Linked DNA regions of Anolis sagrei. Each later gene encodes a partner of the first gene's protein in a complex. Links are inferred from orthologs where the notes say so. Each region holds a gene or a part of one and is shown on either strand. Other genes may lie near its edges.

Region 1 (7,976 bases):
TTTTATTTATATAGACTAGCCGTCCCCTGCCACGCGTTGCTGTGGCCCACATGGGCGTTCTGTGTGGGAGGTCTGGCCCAATACTATCGTTGGTGGGGTTCAGAATGCTCTGTGGGTGTAGGTGAACTATAAATCCCAGCAACTACAACTCCCAAATGCCAAGATTCTATTTTCCCCAAACTCTATCAGTGTTCACATTTGGGCATATTGAGTATTCGTGTAGAGTTTGGTCCAGATCCATAAACTATGATTTTGTCATTTGGGAGTTGTAGTTGCTGGGATTTATAGTTCACTTATAATCAAAGAGCATTCTGAACCCCACCAACGTTGGAATTGAACCAAACTTGGCACACAGTTCTCCCATGACCAACAGGAAATACTGGAATTGTTTGGTGGGCAGTGTCCTTTGGTTTTGGAGTTGTAGTTCACCTACATCCAGAGAGCACTGTGGACTCAAACAATGATGAATCTGGACCAAACTCTACACGAATACTCAATATGCCGAGTATATCCATGCCGAGGCAACCCTCACAGGAGCGGCTCAGGACTTCATGTCCGCCATGGCAACCATGGGGCTGTCCCAACGAATAACTGGCCCCACCCACTGTGCTGGACACACATTGGACTTGGTCTTCTGCCAGGGATGGGAGCAGGGTGGCGGTGTGGAGGAGTTGTCCATCTCTCCGTTGCCATGGACCGACCACTTCCTGATCAGATTTAGGCTCACTGCGCCCCCTAACCTCCGCAAGGGTGGAGGACCCATTAAGATGGTCCGCCCCAGGAGGCTTATGGATCCGAATGGATTCCTGACGGCTCTTGGGGATTTTCCCGCCACCTCGGTAGGTGACCATGTCGAGGCCTTGGTCGCTCTCTGGAATGGGGAGATGACCAGGGCAATTGACAGGATCGCTCCGGAACGTCCTCTCTCGAGTAACCGAGCTAAACCAGCTCCTTGGTTCACTGAGGAGCTGGCAGCGATGAAGCGAAGGAAGAGGGTACTAGAGAGCGTGTGGCGCTCAGACCCAAGCGAGCCAAATCGAACACGGTTTGTGTCCTTTCTAAGGGCATATGCCGCGGCAATAAAGGCCGCAAAGAAAACTTTCTTTGCGGCTACTATTGCGTCTGCAAAAAACCGTCCGGCGGAGTTGTTTCGGATTGTCAGAGGTCTTTTAACTCCCCCTACCTCAGGTGGGAGCCCTGACAATTCGGCCACGCGCTGTGAAGCATTTGCTCGGTTCTTTGCAGACAAAGTCGCTTTGATCCGCTCTGGGCTGGACGCCACATTAAATGCAGTCTCTGTGGATGTGACACAAGCACCTGCTTGTCCTATTTTGTTGGATTCTTTTCAGTTTGTGAAGCCCGAGGATGTGGACAAGATACTTGGAGGAATGAGACCCACCACGTCCATCCTAGACCCCTGCCCATCCTGGCTTCTGAAGGAGGCCAGAGGGGGATTGGCCGAGTGGGTAACGGTGGTGGTTAATGCCTCCCTTCGGGAAGGCAAGATTCCAGCGAGCCTAAAACAGGCTGTTATAAAGCCGCTGTTGAAGAAACCATCATTGGATCCCACTAAATTTGACAACTTTCGGCCTGTTTCCAATCTTCCCTTCTTGGGCAAAGTCATGGAAAGCGTGGTGGCCTCACAACTCCAGGTATTCTTGAGAGACACGGATTATCTGGATCCGGCACAGTCTGGTTTCAGACCGGGACATGGTACCGAGACGGTCTTGGTCGCCTTAGTGGATGATCTGCGCCGGGAGCTAGACAGGGGGAGTGTGTCCCTGTTGGTGCTCCTGGACCTCTCAGCGGCCTTCGATACCGTCGACCACGGTATTCTTCTGGGGCGCCTTGCAGAGATGGGTCTTGGGGGCACTGCTTTGCAGTGGCTCCAGTCATTTCTGGAGGGTCGCACCCAGAAGGTGTTATTGGGGGACTCCTGTTCAACACCACAGCCGTTGACCTGTGGGGTTCCTCAGGGCTCCATCCTGTCCCCCATGCTGTTTAACATCTACATGAAGCCGCTGGGTGAGATCATCCGGAGTTTCGGGGTGCGGTGTCATCTGTACGCAGATGACGTCCAACTCTGTCACTCCTTTCCACCTGCTACTAAGGAGGCCGTCGAAGTCCTGAACCGGTGCCTGGCCGCTGTAATGGTCTGGATGAGGGCGAACAAACTGAAATTAAATCCAGACAAGACAGAGGTACTCCTGGTCAGTCGCAAGGCCGAGCAGGGTATAGGGTTACAGCCTGTGCTGGACGGGGTCGCACTCCCCTTGAAGGCGCAGGTTCGCAGCTTGGGTGTGACCCTGGATTCGTCGCTGAGCCTGGATCCCCAGGTTTCAGCGGTGACCAGGGGAGCATTTGCACAGCTTAGGCTTGTGCGCCAGCTGCGCCCGTATCTTGGGAAGTCTGACTTGGCCACGGTGGTACACGCTTTGGTCACATCCCGCCTCGACTACTGCAACGCTCTCTACGTGGGGCTGCCCTTGAAGACGGCCCGGAAGCTCCAGCTAGTCCAGCGCGCGGCAGCCATGTTGCTAACAGGAGCCGGGCGCAGGGAGCATACAACGCCCCTGCTGTCCCAGCTCCACTGGCTGCCGATTTGCTACCGGGCCCAATTTAAGGTGCTGGTGTTATCCTACAAAGCCCTAAACGGTTCCGGCCCAAAATACCTTGCAGACCGCATCTCGGCCTACGAGCCCACGAGGACCTTGAGATCATCCGGGGAGGCCCTTCTCTTGGTCCCACCTGCCTCACAGGCACGTCTGGCGGGGACGAGAGAGCGGGCCTTTTCGGTGGTGGCCCCCCGGCTGTGGAACGCTCTCCCTGCTGAAGTTAGACAGGCGCCCTCCCTTATGGCCTTCCGTAGGAGCCTGAAAACATGGCTCTTTGAGAGGGCTTTCAATTGAGTGCTATTCATTGGAAATGATGACCGGAATGGATCACGACTATGAAACTGATATGTCCCCATGATATGACGAAGCGGATTTTTAGTATAAGTATATGTTATGTAGTAGTAGATTGTTGTGTACTGTTTGATTTATTGTAAACTGTCTTTTCCATGTTATTGTTCACCGCCACGAGTCGCCCTAGGGCTGAGAGTGGCGGTCAATAAATGCAAGAAATAAATAAATAAATAATAAATAATATGCCCAAATGTGAACACTGGTGGAGTTTGGGGAAAATAGAATCTTGACATTTGGGAGTTGTACTTGCTGGGATTTATAGTTCACCTACAATCACAGAGCATTCTGAACCCCACCAACGATGGAATTGGGCCAAACCTCCCACACATGAACCCCCATGTGGGCCACAGCAACGCGTGGCAGGGGACGTCTAGTAGATTATATTATGTTATATTAATGACTGGCCATACACAATGCCCCTGGGCCTCTTCATAATGTTCTCCAGCCTTCTGCTGGCCCACCAGTATCAAATACTCACTGAGCCGCCATGTTTTTCGCTTTGACTCCAACTCCCAGAAGCCTCAGCCACTCCGTCCAATGAATAGGAATTCTGGGAGATGAAGTCCAAAACACCTCGCAAGGCCGCACACCGCCTCCAGGCCTCTGAAATGCAAAGCCAGGCTCCCACGGCTTTTAGGCCCGCTCCCCACAGAGGCAGGCACGCCCCACTTTCTCCCCGGACCCACCCGAGACGGAGCGAGGCTTCTTTCTCCGTTTCCAATGGCGCCGCTTCCCTCGAGGTCTCTCTCTCCGGCACACAGCCACGGTGCAGATCGCGGAGTGCGCATGCGCGGCAGGGCCTCCGCCATTTTTGAACCTGGCACGGTCCGCCCCTTTGCCATCTCCCCCATGTTTCCGAAGGAGGAAACTGCGAATCCGCCATATTTGTTTAAGGCTATCCGCCATTTTTAAACCTGGCATGGTCTGCCCCTTTGCCATCTCCCCCATGTTTCTGAAGGAGGAAACTGCGAATCCGCCATGTTTGTTTAAGGCAATGTTTCCGGGTTTGTTTGTTTTCACCACCCCAAGAAAGGAAGACACTGTTGAATGAATGGAGTTGATGCCAGTTTCATTGATTGGCACAACTCAATGCTATGGGGTTTGACAAATCTTTATTATTATTATTATTATTATTATTATTATTATTATTTCTTTTTATTTATATTATTATTATTATTATTATTATTATTATTATTATCTTGGGCCTTCTCTGCCTAAGATGCTGAGGCTTCATCAAACTATAACTCCCACAACTCCATAGCAGCACTGAGCCTTGGCAGTTAAAGTGGGCTCAAACTGCATTAATTCTACAGTGCAAATCGGGCATGGGCAAACATCCTGAGCTCTGAGGATGATTACCTGGGAAGGAATCCCACGGGAGCCTTGCAGCGCACCCAAATACCCGGGAGTCACTCTGGGCCGTGCTCTGACCTACAAGAAGCACTGCCTGAACATCAAGCAACAAGTGGGTGCTAGAAACAATATCATACGAAAGCTGACTGGCACAACCTGGGGGTCACAACCAGACACAGTGAAGACATCTGCCCTGGCGCGATGCTACTCTGCTGCTGAGTACGCATGCCCAGTGTGGAACACATCTCACCACGCTCAAACAGTGGATGTGGTTCTTCATGAGACATGCCGCATTATCATGGGGTGTCTGCGCCCTACACCACGGGAGAAATTACACTGCTTAGCCGGTATTGCACCACCTGACATTCGCCGGGAAGGAGCAGCCAATAGTGAAAGGACCAAGGCAGAGACATCTCCAGTTCATCCCCTGTTTGGGTATCAGCCAGCACGTCAACAACAAATCTAGAAATAGTTTTTTAAGATCTACAGAGACACTCATTGGAATACCACAGCAAGCAAGAGTCCAAAAGTGGCAGGCTCAAACCCAGAACCTCAACCAATGGCTGATACCAAATGAGAGACTCCCCCCTGGGCACACAGAAGAAGACGGGGTGACATGGAAGGCGCTGAACAGACTGCGCTCTGGCACCACGAGATGCAGAGCCCACCTTCAGAAATGGGGCCACAAAGTGGAATCCTCGACATGCAAGTGCGGAGAGGAGCAAACCACTGACCACCTGCTGCAATGCACCCTGAGCCCTGCCACATGCACAACGGAGGATCTTCTTGCGGCAACACCAGAGGCACTCCAAGGGGACAGAGACTGGTCAAAGGACATTTAACCAACTACCAAACTCACAAGTTTTGTATTATGTCTGTTTGCTTTGTTCTGTTAGAAATGTAATGTAATGGACTGCTTGCTCTGACACGACAAACAAACAAACCACCCCAAGAAAGGAAGACACTGTTGAATGAATGGAGTTGACGCCAGTTTCATTGATGCTATTAGACAACTCAATGCTATGGGATTTGACAAGGCTTTTTAATATTATTATTATTATTATTATTATTATTATTATTATTATTATTTATTGGGGCCTTCTCTGCCCAAGATGCTGAAGCCTCACCAAACTATAACTCCCACAACTCCATAGCAGCACTGAGCCTTGGCAGTTAAAGTGGGTTCAAACGGCATTAATTCTACAGTGCAGATCAGGCATTGGCAAACTTTGGCCCTCCTCCAGGTGTATTGGACTCCAACTCCCACAATTCCTAAGAGCCTACCGGCTGTTAGGAATTGTGGGAGTCGGAGTCCAAAACACCTGGAGGGAGGGCCAAAGTTTGGAGACTTCATAGAATCATAAGAGTTGGAGGGGACCCCCAAGGGCCATCCAGTCCAACCCCCCTCTGCCATGCAAAAGAAGCACAATCTAAGCACCCCCAAAAGATGGCCACCCAGCCTGTGTAATAATAATAATAACAACAACAATAATAATAATAATAATAATAATAATAGGAGCAACCCCAGGGACCATCCAGTCCAACCACCTTCTGCCATGCAGAAGAAGCACAATCAAAGCACCCCCAAAAGATGGCCACCCAGCCTGTGTAATAATAATAACAACAACAACAACAACAACAACAACAACAATAATAGGAGCAACCCCAGGGACCATCCAGTACAACCCCCTTCTGCCATGCAGAAGAAGCACAATCAAAGCACCCCCAAAAGATGGCCACCCAGCCTGTGTAATAATAACAATAACAACAACAACAATAATAATAATAGGAGCAACCCCAGGGACCATCCAGTCCAACCCCCTTCTGCCATGCAGAAGAAGCACAATCAAAGCACCCCCAAAAGATGGCCACCCAGCCTGTGTAATAATAACAACAACAATAACAACAACAACAATAATAGGAGCAACCCCAAGGACCATCCAATCCAACCGCCTTCTGCCATGCAGAAGAAGCACAATCAAAGCACCCCCAAAAGATAGCCACGCAAATAATACTAATACTAATAGGAACAACCCCAGGGGTCTTCCAACCTTAATAATAATAATCCCAGGCGACAGCTGGATTGACGAGAAGCAGCTGGAAAAGCTGACACGATATGAGGATTTAAAGATCAAACTGCAAAACTCTAGCACAAGCCAGTCAAGGTGGTTCCAGTGGTGATCGGCACACTGGGCACAGCGCCGCAAGACCTTGGCCTACACTTAAACACAATCGACGCTGACAAAATTGCCATCTGCCAGCTGCAAAAGGCCACCCTTCTGGGATCTGCATGCATTATTCACCGATACATCACACAGCCCTAGAAACTTGGGAAGTGTTCGACGTGGGATCAAATACAAAAGCCAGCACAGTGATCTTGTTCGCCATGTACTAATCTTGTTATGTATCTCTAATATTAATAATAATAGGAGCAACACCAAGGGTCATCCAGACCAACCCCCTTCTGCCACGCAGAAGAAGCACAATCAAAGCACCCCCAAAAGATGGCCACCCAGCCTGTGTAATAATAATAATAATAATAATAATAATAATAATAGGAGCAACACCAGGGACTATCCAGTCCAACCACCTTCTGCCATGCAAAAGAAGCACCATCAAAGTATCCCCAAAACATGATCACCCAGCCTGTGTCATAATAATAATAATAATAATAATAATAATAATAATAATAGGAGCAACCCCAGGGACCATCCAGTACAACCACCTTCTGCCATGCAGAAGAAGCACAATCAAAGCACCCCCAAAAGATGGCCACCCAGCCTGTGTAATAATAACAATAACAATAACAACAACAACAACAATAATAATAGGAGCAACCCCAGGGACCATCCAGTCCAACCGCCTTCTGCCATGCAAAAGAAGCACAATCAAAGCACCCCCAAAAGATGGCCATCCAGCCTGTGTAATAATAATAATAACAATAACAACAACAACAATAATAGGAGCAACCCCAGGGACCATCCAGTCCAACCACCTTCTGCCATGCAGAAGAAGCACAATCAAAGCACCCCCAAAAGATGGCCACCCAGCCTGTGTAATAATAACAACAACAATAACAACAACAATAATAATAGGAGCAACCCCAAGGACCATCCAATCCAACCGCCTTCTGCCATGCAGAAGAAGCACAATCAAAGCACCCCCAAAAGATAGCCACGCAAATAATACTAATACTAATAGGAACAACCCCAGGGGTCTTCCAACCTTAATAATAATAATCCCAGGCGACAGCTGGATTGACGAGAAGCAGCTGGAAAAGCTGACACGATATGAGGATTTAAAGATCAAACTGCAAAACTCTAGCACAAGCCAGTCAAGGTGGTTCCAGTGGTGATCTGCACACTGGGCACAGCGCCTCAAGACCTTGGCCTACACTTAAACACAATCGGCGCTGACAAAATTGCCATCTGCCAGCTGCAAAAGGCCACCCTACTGGGATCTGCATGCATTATTCACCGATACATCACACAGCCCTAGAAACTTGGGAAGTGTTCGATGTGGGATCAAATACAAAAGCCAGCACAGTGATCTTGTTCGCCGTGTACTAATCTTGTTATGTATCTCTAATATTAATAATAATAGGAGCAACACCAAGGGTCATCCAGTCCAACCCCCCTTCTGCCATGCAGAAGAAGC
Region 2 (7,557 bases), on another chromosome or scaffold:
CCAGAGAATTATTGGTTGCCTTCTCCCCTCTTTGAAATAACTTTATAATGCCTGCTGCCTTTAAAAAGCTCAAAACATTATTAAGGATCCATCTAACCCTAGATATTATTATCTCTTTTTGAATTATTACCATCTGGCAGATGGGATGTGATGATAAAAACAAGGACAAATAGGCTGAGAGAGAGCTTTTATCCTGGAGCTGAGACTATATTGGGCTCTATGTTTTTACACTGATATGTGGCATTTAGGGCTGTGCAATAGTGATTAAAATGTGTAAGGATGGATGTTTTGTAATTCTACATATATAATGAGCATTGGGGTGGCATTTAATTTTATTGTACGATGTACAATGACAATAAAGTTATTCCTATTCTATTCAAGACCCCCAAAATGGCTTTCTCCCCCTCCCTCCCTCTCTCTGCAGGGACTGGAGTCACTGGGCTGCATCCGGAGGCGCTGCCTGGCCCCCCAGCGGCCGGTCTCCCTCTTCTCGGCCCCTGCCCCAGAGGAGGAGAATCCCCCATGGGCTCCCCGCAGGCTGAGCGAAGAGGAGGAAGAGGCCCCCTTTTATGAACCCTGCCTGGAAGCTGCCCTCAAGATGGGGAGAGTATTCCCCTACGAGACCAACTGGAACAAATGGGGCTCGGCTGGGGGGCCCTGATCCCTTGGAAGCCACCTCCTATTTTGTAAATAAAGCAAGAGTGTCTCTTTTACAGAGTCCCTTCTCCTATAATGTTGCTGTGGCATCAAGTGTCAATACCTGGTGAATATTTGCTTTTTATGTTTGGAATTCACCCTAAGTCCCTTCAGGGAGATAGGGTGGAATATAAATACTTAGGCCATCCCTCATAGCTCGAGGATGATAGTCTTCCAGATGTGGTGTCTTTATATAAATAAAGATGATACTGACACAATATTTTGTTTATATTCTGCCCTATCTCCCCAGAGGGACTCAGGGCAGATTCCAAACATAAAAGGCAAATATTCAATGCCCGAACACAACAACAATACACCCATAGTGTATAAATAAAGATTATTGTTGTTATTATTATTATTTCCTGTGTTGAGCATGCTGCAGCCCCCATCCCAGCCTCAGGCCCTCAAAGCCCCAAATTCCTCAGCCCGGAGCAATAGTTCCCAAACTTTATTTGACTAGGGACCACTTTGACTAGGGACCACTCTCCAACATTAGTACCAAAAGGGTTACGAATCAGTTTTTGGTCAACATTAGGTTCGGTTTGTTTATTTGGGGTGCTGATTCAGATAATTGCATTGGATAGACCACATCAGCTCTAATTTCTGATACAGAACGTATGCCATCCAGTAGTCGCCATCTGCTTGCTCACAGAAAACCATATTTAATAAGTATCGGCACTATAAGAGGGTTTCACGACCATTAGCTCTCATTGCAATGTTGCAGTAACAGTGAGGCCGTGGAACATATTTTAGTTCTTGCGAACCACTGGTGGTCCACGGAACACAGGTTAGGAACCACTGGCTTAGAGGTAGGAAGGGTTGGAGGCCCTGGCCCCACCTGAACCCTGCGCCCTCAGTCCCGCCATCGGTGCCCACATTGGGGACTGCAGCACTTGTAGAAGGTTGTCATGGGTTCGTCGGCAGAGCGCGTCTGGAGCTGCATGAAGAAGGCGCGCGGGTGCTCACACTTGGGACAGGGCTCTGTGGGGCAAGGAAGGAATTATTGTAAATATAAAATTATATTATTATTATTATTATTAGAAATACAATAAGATGAGTCCACAGCAAATACTCTGCTGGCTGTTTTATTGGATCACACGTCGACACTTCCCAAGTGTCCAGGACTGTGTGATGTATCAGCGAATAATGCGTGCAGATCCAAGTAGGGTGGCCTTTTGCAGCTGGCAGATGGTAATTTTGTCAGCCCAATTGTGTTTAAGTACAGGCCAAGGTCTTTAAGCACTGCACCCAGTGTGCCGATCACCATTGGGACCACCTTGACTGGTTTGTGCCAGAGTCTTTGCAGTTCTATTATTATTATTAATTGGGTTGTTGTAGGTTTTTTTGGGCTATATGTCCATTTTCTAGAAGCATTTTCTCCTGATGTTTCACCTGCATCTATGGCAAGCATCCTCAGAGGTAGGGTGGCTTTTTTACAGCTGGCAGATAGTAATTTTGTCAGCACCGATTGTGTTTAAGTGCAGGCCAAGGTCTTAGGCACTGCACCCAGTGTGCCGATCACTGAGACCACCTGGATTTGCTTGTACCAGAGTTTAATCTTTAAATCATATTGTGTCAGCTTTTCCAGTTGTTCCTCTTCAATCATTAATATCTTATCCTTATTATTATCATTATTAATGGAGCCAATGGTGGCACAGTGGGTTAAACCACTGAGCTACTAAACTTGCTAACCCTAGCCCCGCCCCCTCGCTCTCCCAGGCCCCGCCCCTTTCGGTGACGCACCTGCCGTGGAGTCCACGTTCTCCCAGGCCGCGGCCCCGCCCAGCACGTCGTCCACTTCCTTCAGCTTCGGGTAGCGCCGGCTTGTTACCTAGCAACGGAAAGAGGGGGGGAAAGGTGAGCGAAGGCCGAGGAGGAGGAGGGAGGGAAGGAGAGAGGGAGCGGCCCCGCCCCTTGACGTGCCTTGCGCGTGACGTTGCGGACGTAGGGGCACGTAGTGCAGGCGAAGCGGTGGCAGCGCGGCCCCTCTTCGGCCACCAGGACGTTCCCGCAGGCCGGGCAGAACAGCAGCATCCTCTCTCCTCACCTTCCGTTTCCGCTCTCCCCTCACAAACCGGAAGCGTGATGGAGGAGGAAGAGGAGGAGGAGGAAGCACACGCGGACGTGCTGGAGCTCTGGCAGGAAGGACTCGCCCGACTGGTCCAGGACCCGCTGCTCTGTGACCTCCCAGTTCAGGTGGGCTGGGCACTGGGCGGGAGGCGTGGCCTACAGAGAAGGGGGCGGGGCATTGTTTGTGGGCAACATAGAAGGGGCGGAGCCTGATAATAAAGGGGCGGGGCATACGATGAAGGGCGGGACATGGGCCTGTCATTCACCCGCTCCCTCTCTCCCTATCTCCCAGGTGACCCCCGAGGAGATCAGCTCGCAAGTGGCGCTGGAGTACGGGCAAGCCATGACAGTGCGCGTGCGCAGAGCCGACGCCCCCGAGGCACCAATGCGTAAGTGCCAGGAGAGGCGTGGGCGGGGCCTAGTGGCCCAAATAGTGAGGCGCCTCTGTGGGCGGGGCTCAGAGGCGTGGGCGGGGCCTCAGAGGCGTGGGCGGGGTCTAATCGCCCAAATAGTGGGGCCCCTCTGTGGGCGGGGCCTAGGGGCGTGGGCAGGGCCTCAGAGGCGTGGGCGGGGTCTAATGGCCCAAATAGTAATGCCCTCTGTGGGCGGGGCCTAGAGGCGTGGACGGGGCCTCAGGGGTGTGGGCGAGGCCTAGTGGACCAAATAGTGACGCCCTCTGTGGGCGGGGCCTAGAGGCGTGGGCGGGGCCTAGAGGCGTGGGCGGGGTCTAGTGGCCCAAATAGTGAAGCCCTCTGTGGGCGGGGGTCTAGATGTGTGTCCGGGGCCTCAGTGGCGTGGGCGGGGTCTAATGGCCCAAATAGTAATGCCCTCTGTGGGCGGGGCCTAGAGGCGTGGGCGGGGCCTCAGAGGCGTGGGCGGGGTCTAATGGCCCAAATGGTGAGGCCCTCTGTGGGCGGGGCCTAGTGGCCCAAATAGTGAGGCGCCTCTCCTGCTCTCTCCTCCTTCCCTCCTATAACATACTACTACTGTTATTATTATATATTTAATATATTTTATATGTAATATTACTAATATTATTACAATATAATGGTATAGTACAATTTCTCCTGACGTTTCGCCCACATCTATGGCAAGCATCCTCAGAGGTGGGGAGGTCTGTTGGAAAACTAGGAAAATGGGGATTATATATCTGTGGAATAATGCCCAGGGTGGGAGAAAAAACTCTTGTCTGTTTCAGGCAGGTGGGAAGGTTGCAATTGGCCACCTTGATTAGCATTTAATGGCCGTGCAGTTTCAAGGTCTGGCTGCTTACTGCCTGAAACAGACAAGAGTTTTTTCTCCCGACCCTGAGCCCTTGTTTTATTGATATTGTTTTAACTTGTTATTAGAGCTGTCGGCAGTGCAATGGGTTAAACCAGGGGTCCTCAGACTAACGCCAGGGAGCCAGATACGGCCCTCCAAGGTTATTTACCTGGCTCTCGCTCAGGGTCAACCTCAGTCTGAAACGTGTTGAAAGCACACAATAACAACAGCAATCCTATCTCATCAGCCAAAAGCAGGCCCACACTTCCCATTGAAGTCCCCCCAGGGCTGGGTGAGAAAGGCAGTATATAAATACTGTAAATAAAAATAAATTTTAATACGAATAAGATTACATTTGTTAAAATTGTTCTTCATTTTAATTACTGTATTGTTTTTAAGTGTTTTTTGCACTACAAATAAGATATGTTCATTGTGCGTAGGAATTCATTCATGTTCTTGAGTGGAACTCTCTGCCCCGGAGTGTGGTGGAGGCTCCTTCTTGGAAGCTTTTAAACAGAGGCTGGATGGCCATCTGTCAGGGGTGCTTTGAATGCAATATTCCTGCTTCTTGGCAGGGGGTTGGACCGGATGGCCCATGAGGTCTCTTCCAACTCTTTGATTCTATGATTCTATGAAATTATAATCCGGCCCGCCAACAGTTTGAGGGACTTTGACCTGGCCCTAAGATTTAAAAAGTTTGAGGACCTCTGGGTTAAACCCTTGTGCTAGCAGGATTGCTGACCGAAAGGTCGGTGGATCGAATCCAGGGAGTGGTGTGAGCTCCCGTCTGTCAGCTCCAGCTTCCCATGCAGGGACATGAAAGAACCTTCCCACAAGATGATAAAACATTTGGGCAACGTCCTTGTAGACGGCCTATTCTCTCACACCAGAAGCGACTTGCAGTTCCTCAAGTCATTGCTGGCATATATATATATATATTACTAGCTGTCCCCTGCCACTCGTTGCTGTGGCCCAGTCTGTTGATCTGGAAAATGGCCTTGGATGGCCTTAAGTATTTTCTGTTGGTCATGGGGGTTCTGTATGGGAAGTTTGGCCCGATTCTGTCATTTGTGGGGTTCCGAATGCTCTTTGATTATAGGTGAACTGTGAATCCCAGTGACTACAACTCCCAAATGTCAAGGTCTATTTTCCCCAAACTCCACCAGTGTTCACATTTGGGCATACTGAATATTTGTTCCAAGTTTGGTCCAGATCCATCATTGTTTGGGTCCACAGTGATCTCTGGATGTAGGTGAACTACAACTCCCAAACTCAAGGTCAATGCCCACCAAACCCTTCCAGTATTTTCTGTTGGTCACGGGAATTCTGTGTGCCAAGTTTGGTTCAATTCCATCGTTGATGAAGTTCAGAATGTTCTTTGATTGTAGGTGAACTATAAATCCCAGCAAATACAACTCCCAAATGACAAAATCATAATTTTTGAGTGACGGTCACTCCTTGTGTTGTGAGATGTTTTGTTGCCAAATTTGGTGGATTTCGTTCATTGATTGTTTTGTTTTTAAGGTACTCATTATGCACAGAGCATTTATATTATTATTATTATTATTATTATTATTATTGCTTCTGTTTTGATTTGTATGATTGTTGAATGTGTTGTATTGTCTTCTTGAATTTGTTGTATTTTTTATGGCATTGAACTGCCTTGTTTGTTGTGAGCCGCCCTGAGTCCCCTTGGGGAGATAGGGTGGGATAGAAATAAAGTTTTACTCACTTATCAGTTTTACTTACTTTACACACTGTATCATTCATATGTAATTACTGTATGTATTCTCGTTTGTTGGGGCATCTAATTGTGCTGGCTATAAGCCGCCCTGAGTCCTCCTACGGGGGTTGAGAAGGGCGGGGTACAAGTGTTTGAAATAAATAAATACTAAATACTCCCTCTCTCCTTTCAGCGGTGGTGGTGGTGCAGAATGCCAGCATCCTGGACCTGAAGAGGGCCCTCCGGCGGTTTGTGCAGCTGCGGCAGGAGCGTGAGGGGGGCATCCAGCACATCAGCTGGTGGGTCCTGCTTCCGTGGGGCAGGAGAGGGGAGGGGGCAAGGTCAGGCAGAGCCAGCTCCACCCCTCCTCCTTGTCCTTAAGCCTCTCCTCCCTACCTGACAGGAAATACCTGTGGCGCACCTACTGCCTGACCTTCGGTGGAGAGAAGCTGACAGACGACCGGAAGAAGCTGAGAGAGTGAGTCTGTGGTGCCCTGGTACCCCTTGTGGATCCCATGCCCATACTCTGGCCTGCTTGCAGTGGGACCAGGCTCAGCCAGGTGGGGGGCAGGTGTGCTACGTGCTGAGGAAGGAGGTGCCCGAGGCTTCTGGCTGCAGTCCTTCACCCCCTTTGCCTTGCCACCCTCTTTGTGGGCCTTTCTGAGGGCCTGAGTCCCTGGGAGAGGAGGAGTCCTAATGTGCACAACGTTTTCCCCAGGTATGGCATCCGCAACCGGGATGAAGTCACCTTTGTGAAAAAGATCCGGAAGTGAGTCCCCAGGCAAGCCTCTGCATGGCCTTGAAGGGAAAGAGGCCCTCTTGGGAACTATAGGAGCATCCGAGGGGAGGCTTCCCATGAGCCCCTGAAGCCCAGGTACTAACCAGGGGACCAGAGGCACCTGCCTGCCTGCCTTTCTCCGTTTGGAGGGCAGGGCCAGGTCCCTCTCCCTGAACGGGGCTGGGAGCCTTCCTGACCAGTGCTGGCCAGAGGGTGGGTGCAAGGGATTAAGCATCATCTGTTGGATTTGTAATAAAGCTTGAGTAGTAACTGCTTGTTTACACTTTTATACAGAATCCCAAGTTGTTGTAGAGGGTTAGGGTGGTCGCAGAAAGCCAAGCTGAGAAGGAAGCCCCAATTCTATGACTGCTAAGAATGTTGCTTTGGGTCAAGCGTAGCTCTGTGGGCTTTGGCCAGCGCTCCCCCCATAGAAGACCAAGGCTATGCTAAGCCCCTCCCACCAGGAAGTCCCCTCAACACATGCTCTTTCAATCAGTAACCCAGTAGCACTTGGGGAGGTGTTTTCATAGTGAAGGAGCTCCCAGTGGTGCAATGGGTTAAACCCTTGTGCTGGCAGGACTGAAGACTGACAGGTTGCAGGTTTGAATCTGGGGAGAGCGTGGATGAGCTCCCTCTGTCAGCTCCAGCTCTCCATACAGGGACATGAGAGAAGCCTGGACACAAATATAGTCATTTTGAGGATTATTAGTATTATTGTACTTCAAGGAGCCCCCGGTGGCGTAATAGGTTAAACCAGTGGTTCTCAACCTGTGGGTCCCCAGGTGTTTTGGCCTACCATTCCCAGAAATCGCAGCAAGTTTACCAGCTGTGAGGATTTCTGGGAGTTGAAGGGCAAAACATCTGGGGACCCACAGGTTGAGAACCAGTGGGTTAAACCCTTGTGTCAGCAGGACTGAAGACCGACAGGTCGCAAGTTCAAATCTGGGGAGAGCGGATGAGCTCCCTCTGTCAGCTCCAGCTCTCCACGCAGGTACATGAGAGAAGCCTGGACACAAAGGTAGCCGTT
Region 3 (8,393 bases), on another chromosome or scaffold:
TACATGATGGTGTTCAGGTTCTGCTGCCCGGCGCTCGCTTTGCTCTTCCCCATCTCTCGCCGCTGCTGCTTCAGGTCCATCAGCAGCTGGTAGACCTGAAAGGAAACCCGATTTGCTCTTTCACGGGGGCCGCAAAGCACTTTCCAACAACATTCCCATCCGCGATTGCTATGTAAACCAAGCCAGGAAAAGAGAGGCGCCGTTGAGTTTCCCACCCTCTGCTGGGACCGTTCTGCATGGCACTTTTAGAGCGCTTTGGTCCCATTTCAACTGTGAAGCTCCCTTATCCGGGAATCCGAAACGCTCCAAAATGGCCATTCTATGAGAGGGCCTTTGGGCAACCTGGCTCAAGGCAGGTTACGGCATAATCAAAACACATAAACATAGTAAAAACTTATAAATGCACATATAGAAATGTACTTTGATAAAATGCATATGAAAATACACAGAGCAGAGATGAAACACAAGGCATCAGAAGTCCAATTAATTATGCCACAAATGGTTTTACCTCATAGTTGCTCAGAAGGGCTGCATTTCCGTCTTTCCTGCACAACAAAACAAACAGGCAGGATTAGGCCTTTATGCAGGCGATCCTGGCTCAAGAAGACAGACTGTTTTCAAAGCCCAAAGGAGATATTTTCTTAAAGGGCAGCTTCCTCATTTCGAGCCAGATTTTGCTGAAGTCAGATAATGTGTGTCCAGAGGAACGCTGGGAAAATCCAGACAAATGAAAAGATAGATAGATGATAGACAGTTGACAAGTGATTGATAGACAAATGATTGATAGATGATAGATAGTTGGCAAATAATTGATAGTTGACAGATAGTTGACAGATGATTGATAGATAATAGATAGAAACATAACAAAGATAGCTGACAGATGAAAGATAGATGACAGATAGTTGACAGATGATTAAAGATAATAGAATTATAGATAGAAAGATAAGATAGTTGACAGATGATCGATAGATGATAGAAACATAACAGAAAGATCGTTGACAGGAGATTGATAGACAGATGAAAGATAGAGGACAGATTGTTGACAGATGATTGATAGATAATAAATAGATGGATAGATAGATAGTTGACAGATAATTGATAGGTTATAGAAACATAACAGAAATATAGTTGACAGGAGATTGATAGGCAGATGAAAGATAGATGACAGATAATCGATAGATGATTGATAGATAACAGATAGATAGATAGATAGATGACAGATAATTGATAGTTGATAAACTGTTGACAGATGATTGATAAACAGACAGATAATAGTTGGCAAATCATTGATAAATAGATGATAGTTGACAGATGATAAGATAGTTGAGAGATTATTGATATAGATGATATATGAGATGATTTATCTGTATAGCTCGATGATTGACAGATGATTAATACAGATAGAAAAATGAGTTGAGAGAAGACAAACACTAATAGATAGATAGTTGACAGGTGATTGATAGACATATGATAGATAGATGATAGATAAATAGTTGGCAGATGATAGATACATAGATAGATAATTGGTAGATGATTGATGGACAGATGATAGATAATAGAAAGATAGACAGATAAATAATTGGCAGATGATTAATAAACCAGATGATACATATAGTTGGCAGATGATTGACGGACAGGTGATAGATAGATAGTTAACAGAAGGTAAATAGTTGAGAGAGGATTGATACAGATAGATAGTTAACAGATGATGGATCACCTTAATAACAAACCGACTGAATCTTGTTCATAACTGAATCTTGTTCATATCTATCTATCTATCTATCTATCTATCTATCTATTAACAAAAACACCGAAGGGCCGTGCGGAAGGGCCCCCTCCATCCATCCATACATCCCAGAGACAAAGGCCTTTTTTCTGCTGAGCCAGCAAAGAGCGCAGAAACAACAACAGTGCGGCGGCCACAAAAAGCGCTTCTCGGGGGGCCCCGCACGTACCTAAAAGCACAATGTATTTGATTTAGTTCTGAATCGAACCCGCTGCGCTCATCACTTTCGGGGCAAGTTCCACGCCGCCTCTTCCACAAACTTCCACAGGTTGGGCGCATTGTTTTGGTGTTTTGTTTTTTAAAAAAAACAAATCGGGGGGATTCAAAAAAAAAGAGGGGCTCCCCTTCCGGAAATATGCTGAGAAGGGAGTTTTCGTTTTTTGTGCTGACCCCAAAGACACGTCAGCCGTAGCAGTGGCTTTGCTCCATATATGTTATACTGTATATTTAATTCTTTGGGAGTCTTGGGAAGCTCGAATGAAGAGGAATCCTATGGGGAGATAGATATATATGTCTGTGTGTGTGTGGTTGGCTTTTTGGTCGGCAAAAGAACCAACAAAACCTACATATTATTGATATTACAATTAATAATATAAAATTTATATATATATATATATATTATACATACATTGCTTTATCTTATATATTAATATATTAAGTGATATGTATGTGTATATATATGTACATATATGTATGTAAACATCTCATCAATATCCCTCTCTATATATTAAAGTGTATATATATATATATAATACATACATTTTAATATATTAATATAGTATATATATAATATGACATATAAGCATTATCCCTCCCTCTCTATACAGTATATGTATGTATGTGTGTATATATATATATATATATATAATTTTAATATATATGTGACATGTATGTATAAATGTTAGTACATATATTATACATACATTACTTTATTTTGTTATATTAATATATATGTATATAAGCATCTAATTAATAGCCCTCTCTGTACATTAAACAATATATATTATACATACATTATTTTAATATATGTATATTAATATATTATAAATATATATTAAGTGATGTGTATGTGTGTGTGTGTGTGTGTGTATATATATGCATCTAATCAATATCCCCTCTATACATTAAAGTATATATATATATATGATACATTATTTTTATATATTAATATTAAAATAATGTATGTCTTATATATATAGATATCACATAATTGCATATATTATGTGATATGTATGCATATATAAGCAATATCCCTCTCTAATACAGATTAATATAATATATATTAAAGCATATATTGCATATATTTAGTATTATATTAATATAATGTGATATGTATATACATGAATTCTATATAAGCATTTAAGTAATATACCTCTCTATATACATTTATATGTGTGTAGTATATATTATGTATTATATATATATATACATTACTTTATTTTAATGTTATACATATATAAATAATATTGCATACATTATTTTAGTATTATATTAATATAATGTGATATATATATATATATGAATTCTATATAAGCATATAAGTAATATACCTCTCTATATATATTAACATGTGTATAGTATATATAATGTATTATATATTAATATATACATTTCTGTATTTTAATCTGTTATACATATATAAATAGAACATATAAATGTATATATAGTAGAAGCATCATCTCCTCTCTATGGCTTAATATATCCTATTTCCTCTCTATAGCTTAATATGAATAATTCTATAAGCAACAAAACATACATATTAATAATTCAGATTCCCTCGGGTTCGCCTCCTGGGCCTGGCTTTCCTGCCATTTCCCCTCCTTCCCTCCCTCCAACTTACACTTCCATCTCGCTTCCCAGGAGGAGAATTAGGGAAAAGGCGGGACTTCAGGCCGGAAGAGGAGGAGACTGAGAGGAAAGGGGCGGAGACTGGGAAAGGGGTGGAGCTTCGAGACAGAGGAGAAAGGGGGCGGAGACAAGCAGGGTAGGAAAGGGGGCGGGGCTTCAAGCATGAGGCAGAAAGCGAGGCGCTAAGGACGCCGGGAGATGAAGGCGGGAAGGCGTGGCCCTTGCGAGGGAAGACGGCCGGCTGAAGGGAGGGCGCTTTCTTCAAGGACTACAACTCCCAGAATGCCTTTCACTTGCAAGACTTTTGGCGGGAGAATAGCCACTGGAGTCTAGGGCTGTGATACTTCTATCAGAAGCCCCACTTCACAATCTATTATTATTATTATATATTCTTCTTCTTCTTATAGCATCTACCAATCCGCAGAAAGGAAGGTCAGTTCCCCCCAAACCCCTCCAGCCATTAAATTTCGGCCTATCAGGTCTGTGTGCCAAGTTTGGCCCAGATCCATTAGTGCTCTCTGGATGTAGGTGAACTACAACTCCCTCAAATCAAGGTGAATATCCCTCCAAAGCCTCCAGTGTTTTTTTTTGCTGGTCATGGGGGCTTTGTTTGCCAAGTATGGTCAAATTCCGTCATTGGTGGAGTTCAGAGTACTCCTTGATTGCAGGTGAACTATAAATCCCAGGATCTATAACTCCAAAGTACACAGACGAATTCCCCTCAAAACTCACCAATATTCAAATTTGGGCATATCAGGTATGCATGCCAAGTTTGGTCCAGATCCATCATTGGGTTCACAGTGCTCCCTGGATATAGGTGAACTACAACTCCCTCAAATCAAGGTAAATTCCCCTCAAAGGCCTTCTGCAGCTGGCAGATGATAATTTTGTCAGCGCGGATTGTGTTTAAGTGCAGGCCAAGGTCTTGAGGCACTGCACCCAGTGTGCCAATCACCACTGGGACCACCTTGACTGGCTTCGGCCAGAGTCTTTGCAGATCGATCTTTAAATCCTCATTTTTTTTCTCTTCAATCCTGCTATCGCCTGGAATTGCAACATCGACGATCCAAACAGTATTATTATTATTATTATTATTATCATGGCATATCTACCAGTTTCCATGGGGGCCAGTTAATTGAAAGACTATTATTATTATTATTATTATTATTATTATTATTATTATTGTGTCATATCTACCAATTCCCATGGGGGCCAGTTGATTGAAAGATTATTATTATTATTATTATTATTATTATTATTATTGCATATCTACCAATTCCCATGGGGGGCAGTTAATTAAGAGACTATTATTATTATTATTATTACTCCATCTACTTAACCCTATAGATACTTTGAATGAAGGGAGAGCCTGCTGCCTTGCATTGACTTCTATGGCCTTTAAGAACATTTAAGAACTCTCCTATGATTTCCTTTTAGCGTCCATGGAAGAGGTCGGACTTGGCAGCAGCCCTTTTTGGCAGCGAATCAGTGCAAAACATTGGCATCTCTCCCACCTTTCATGCCATTGAAGGTTACTAGGCCAGATCTAGATGCCAATTGTGTTGTGTTGTGTTGACTTGTTTTGTATGCAAATGAACTGTGGTCTAAGGGCATTAACAAACACCTCTTATTTCCTTTTATATTATTAAGGCTTTTGAGCGCCCATGGAGGAGGAGGAGGCCTGCTATTCTTCCCTTTTAGATGGTCCAGGCCTTTCAGCATCTGTGACGGAGGTCCAATTCATAGGTATATCATATCTTAGTACAAGGTAAAGGTTTTCCCCTGACATTAAGTCCAGTTGTGTCCAACTTTGGAGGCTGGTACTCATCTCCATTTCCAAGCCGAAGAGCCAGAGTTATCCGTAGACACCTCCAAGGCCAAGTGGCTGACATAACTACATGGAGCACCCTTACCTTCCCGCTGAAGCAGTACTATTGATCTACTCACATTTGTATGTTTTCGAACTGCTAGGTTGGCAGAAGCTGGGCTAACAGCAGGACCTCACTCCACTCTCTGGATTCGAACCACCAACCTTTCACTCAGCAAGTTCAACAGCTCAGCGGTTTAACTCACTGTGCCACTGGGGGCTCCTTTATCGTATCTTATTATACCATATCATATCATGTGTATTTCCGGCTTTAGGGAAAGGAGCCTCTCCTTCCTTCCTTCCTTCCTTCCTTCCTTCCTTCCTTCCTTCCTTCCTTCCTTCCTTCTCTCCCTCCTTTCTTCCTTCCTCTCCTTTCTTCTTTTCTTCCTTCCTTCCTTCCTTCTTCCTTCCTTCTTTTTTCTTTCCTTCACTCCTTCCTTCCTTCTTCCTTCCTTCCTTCCTTCCCTCCCTCCTTTTTTCCTTCCTTCCTTCTCTCCCTTCTTTCTTCTTTCTCTCCTTCCTTCCTTCTCTCCATCCTTAATTTTTCCTTCCTTCCTTCCTTCCTTCCTTCCTTCTGTCTTTCTTTCTTTCCATCCTTCCTTCTCTCCCTTCTTTCTTCCTTCTCTCCTTCCTTCCCTCCTTCTTTCCTTTCTTCTCTCCTTCCTTCCTTCCTTCCTTCCTTCCTTCCTTCCTAGTCTCCCTCTTTTCTTCTTTCTCTCCTTCCTTCCTTCTCTCCATCCTTATTCCTTCCTTCCCTCCTTTTGTCTTTCCTTCTTTCTTTCCTTCCTTCTCTCCCTCCTTTCTTCCTTCTCTCCTTCTTTCTTTCCTTCCTTCTCTCTCTCCTTTCTTCCTTCTCTCCTTCCTTCCCTCCTTCTTTCCTTCCTTCTCTCCTTCCTTCTTTCCTTCCTTCTCTTCTTTCTTCCCTCCTTTCTTTCTTTCCTTCCTTCCTTCCTTCTTTTCATTCCTTCTTTCCTTCTCTCTCTCTCCTTCCTTCCTTCTTACACACCTTTGTGCCCTTTTCCACCTCTCTCTTTCTCATGAAAGATAGTGCCATTATTATTAGTAGTAGTATTAATAGGAGCCCCAGTGGTGCAGCGGGTTAAATCGCTGAGCTGCTGATCTTGTTGAATAAAAGGATGGCGGTTCAAATCCGGGGATTGGGGTGAGCTCCGCTATGAGCCCCAGCTTCTGCTAACCTAGCAGTTTAAAAACATGCAAATGTGAGTACCTCTTCAGCAGGAAGGTAACAGTGCTCCATGCAGTCATGCCAGCCGCATGACCTTGGAGGTGTCTATGGACAATGCCGGCTCTTTGGCTTAGAAATGGAGATGAGCACCAACTCCGAGAGTCGGACATGGCTGGACTTCATGTCAAGGGGAAAACCTTGACCTTTACCTTTTTATTAGTAGGAGTATTTGCTGATGGCTCCAAAGTCTTTCCGTGTTGTGCGTGCGTGCAAGGGACAGAATTGGAAAGCGCACACGCATGCAGGGGGGCCCCCATTCATGCCTGGGGAAAGTGTGCCAACTCAGCGGATGGATGGATGGATAGATAGATAGATGGAGGGCTGGAGAGAAGCCCCTTTTTTCTTCCTCTCTTTTCATCCCTTCCTTCCTTTCTTTCTGGCTCATTCAGGAAACACAATGCCCAGCGGCCTCATGGGTGGCTTTGTCTTTTTGGCTCCCTTGTCATCCTTGCTTTGGAAACGAGGGCGCTGACCCTGCCATTCACGCAGGAAATGCAGACTGGACCCTTTCCTTTATTGGCTCCCTTTTTGTTGCTTTCCCCCCATTGAGCGGGGCAACCGTTTTTCTATACGTCAATGTAAGAATAACACGTATCACACAAAGGGCTTATCCATAGAAAGAGGTTGCTGAAGACACGAGAAAATGGGTGGCCATCACGTGGACCTCCAGATTCCTGGGCTGCCATTATTATTATTATTATTATTATTTATAATATTAATAATAATAACCTGCTTTTCCCCTTCCAGATTTCTAAACTGCACTTCTTCCTCCTCCTCGCTGTCTTCTTCCTCTTCTTACTATCATCAGCATCTATTATTATTATTATTTACCCACTTCTCTATCACATTATTATTATTTTCTTTCACACCTCTTCTTTACCAAGTTATTATTATTATTATTATTATTATTATTATTAATTTCTTACACATCTCTTCTCTACCGGATGATAATGATGATGATGATTATTATTATTATTATTATTATTATTATTATTTTCTTATCCACCTCTTCTCTACCACATTATTATTATTATTATTATTATTATTAACCTTTTCTCTACTAAGTTGTTATTATTTTCTTACCCACCTCTTCTCTATGTTATTATTGCTGTTATTATTGTTATATTATCACACTTCTCTACCAAATAATAATAATTACTATCATCCTTTGCAAATTATTATTTATTATTATTAACCCATCTCTCCTCTACCAAATTATTATCTTTATTGTTACTACTATTATTATCATCATCATTTTCATACACACCTCTACCAACTTAACATTATTTTTATTATTATTATTATTATTATTATTATTATTATTACAGGAGCCCCCGATGGTGCAGTGGGTTAAACCCTTATGCTGGTTGGACTGAAGACCTATAGGTCACAGGTTCGAATCTGTGGAGAGTGCAGATGAGCTCTCTCTGTCAGCTCCAGCTCCGTGCAAGGACATGAGAGAAGCCTCCCACAAGGATGGTCAAACATCAAAACATCTGGGCGTCCCCTGGGCAACATCCTTGCAGATGGCCAATTCTCTCACACCAGAAGCGACTTGCAATTTTTCAGGTTGCTCCTGACACGAAAAAAAAATATTACAGACCTCTTTTCTACCAATTTAACATTATTATCTTACACACCTCTTC

What was found. Proteins that work in one complex are often made in the same cells at the same time.
Region 2: POLR3D (region 1) and POLR3K share a complex: the UniProt entries of both Homo sapiens proteins name them as parts of the RNA polymerase III complex. The link is inferred for Anolis sagrei from reciprocal best matches to the Homo sapiens genes POLR3D and POLR3K.
Region 3: POLR3D (region 1) and CRCP share a complex: the UniProt entries of both Homo sapiens proteins name them as parts of the RNA polymerase III complex. The link is inferred for Anolis sagrei from reciprocal best matches to the Homo sapiens genes POLR3D and CRCP.

The regions. Positions count from the first base shown.
Region 1 is NC_090027.1:1,455,852-1,463,827, forward strand, and holds the start of POLR3D (DNA-directed RNA polymerase III subunit RPC4), read right to left. Parts: upstream 3,765-7,976; 5' UTR 3,653-3,764; intron 3,608-3,652; exon of another isoform or gene 3,368-3,607; intron 1-3,367. UniProt on the Homo sapiens protein: DNA-dependent RNA polymerase catalyzes the transcription of DNA into RNA using the four ribonucleoside triphosphates as substrates.
Region 2 is NC_090035.1:14,606,871-14,614,427, forward strand, and holds POLR3K (DNA-directed RNA polymerase III subunit RPC10), read right to left. Parts: upstream 2,731-7,557; coding exon 2,620-2,730; intron 2,528-2,619; coding exon 2,440-2,527; intron 1,678-2,439; coding exon 1,550-1,677; 3' UTR 1,228-1,549; downstream 1-1,227. Other genes in the region: general transcription factor 3C polypeptide 1, read left to right, coding at 425-661; SNRNP25 (U11/U12 small nuclear ribonucleoprotein 25 kDa protein), read left to right, coding at 2,782-2,892, 3,059-3,155, 5,946-6,051, 6,156-6,230, 6,471-6,525. UniProt on the Homo sapiens protein: Core component of RNA polymerase III (Pol III) which synthesizes small non-coding RNAs using the four ribonucleoside triphosphates as substrates. Can mediate Pol I proofreading of the nascent RNA transcript.
Region 3 is NC_090031.1:27,643,448-27,651,840, forward strand, and holds the start of CRCP (DNA-directed RNA polymerase III subunit RPC9), read right to left. Parts: upstream 3,728-8,393; 5' UTR 3,635-3,727; coding exon 3,627-3,634; intron 3,621-3,626; exon of another isoform or gene 3,545-3,620; coding exon of another isoform or gene 3,543-3,544; intron 546-3,542; coding exon 509-545; intron 96-508; coding exon 1-95. UniProt on the Homo sapiens protein: DNA-dependent RNA polymerase catalyzes the transcription of DNA into RNA using the four ribonucleoside triphosphates as substrates.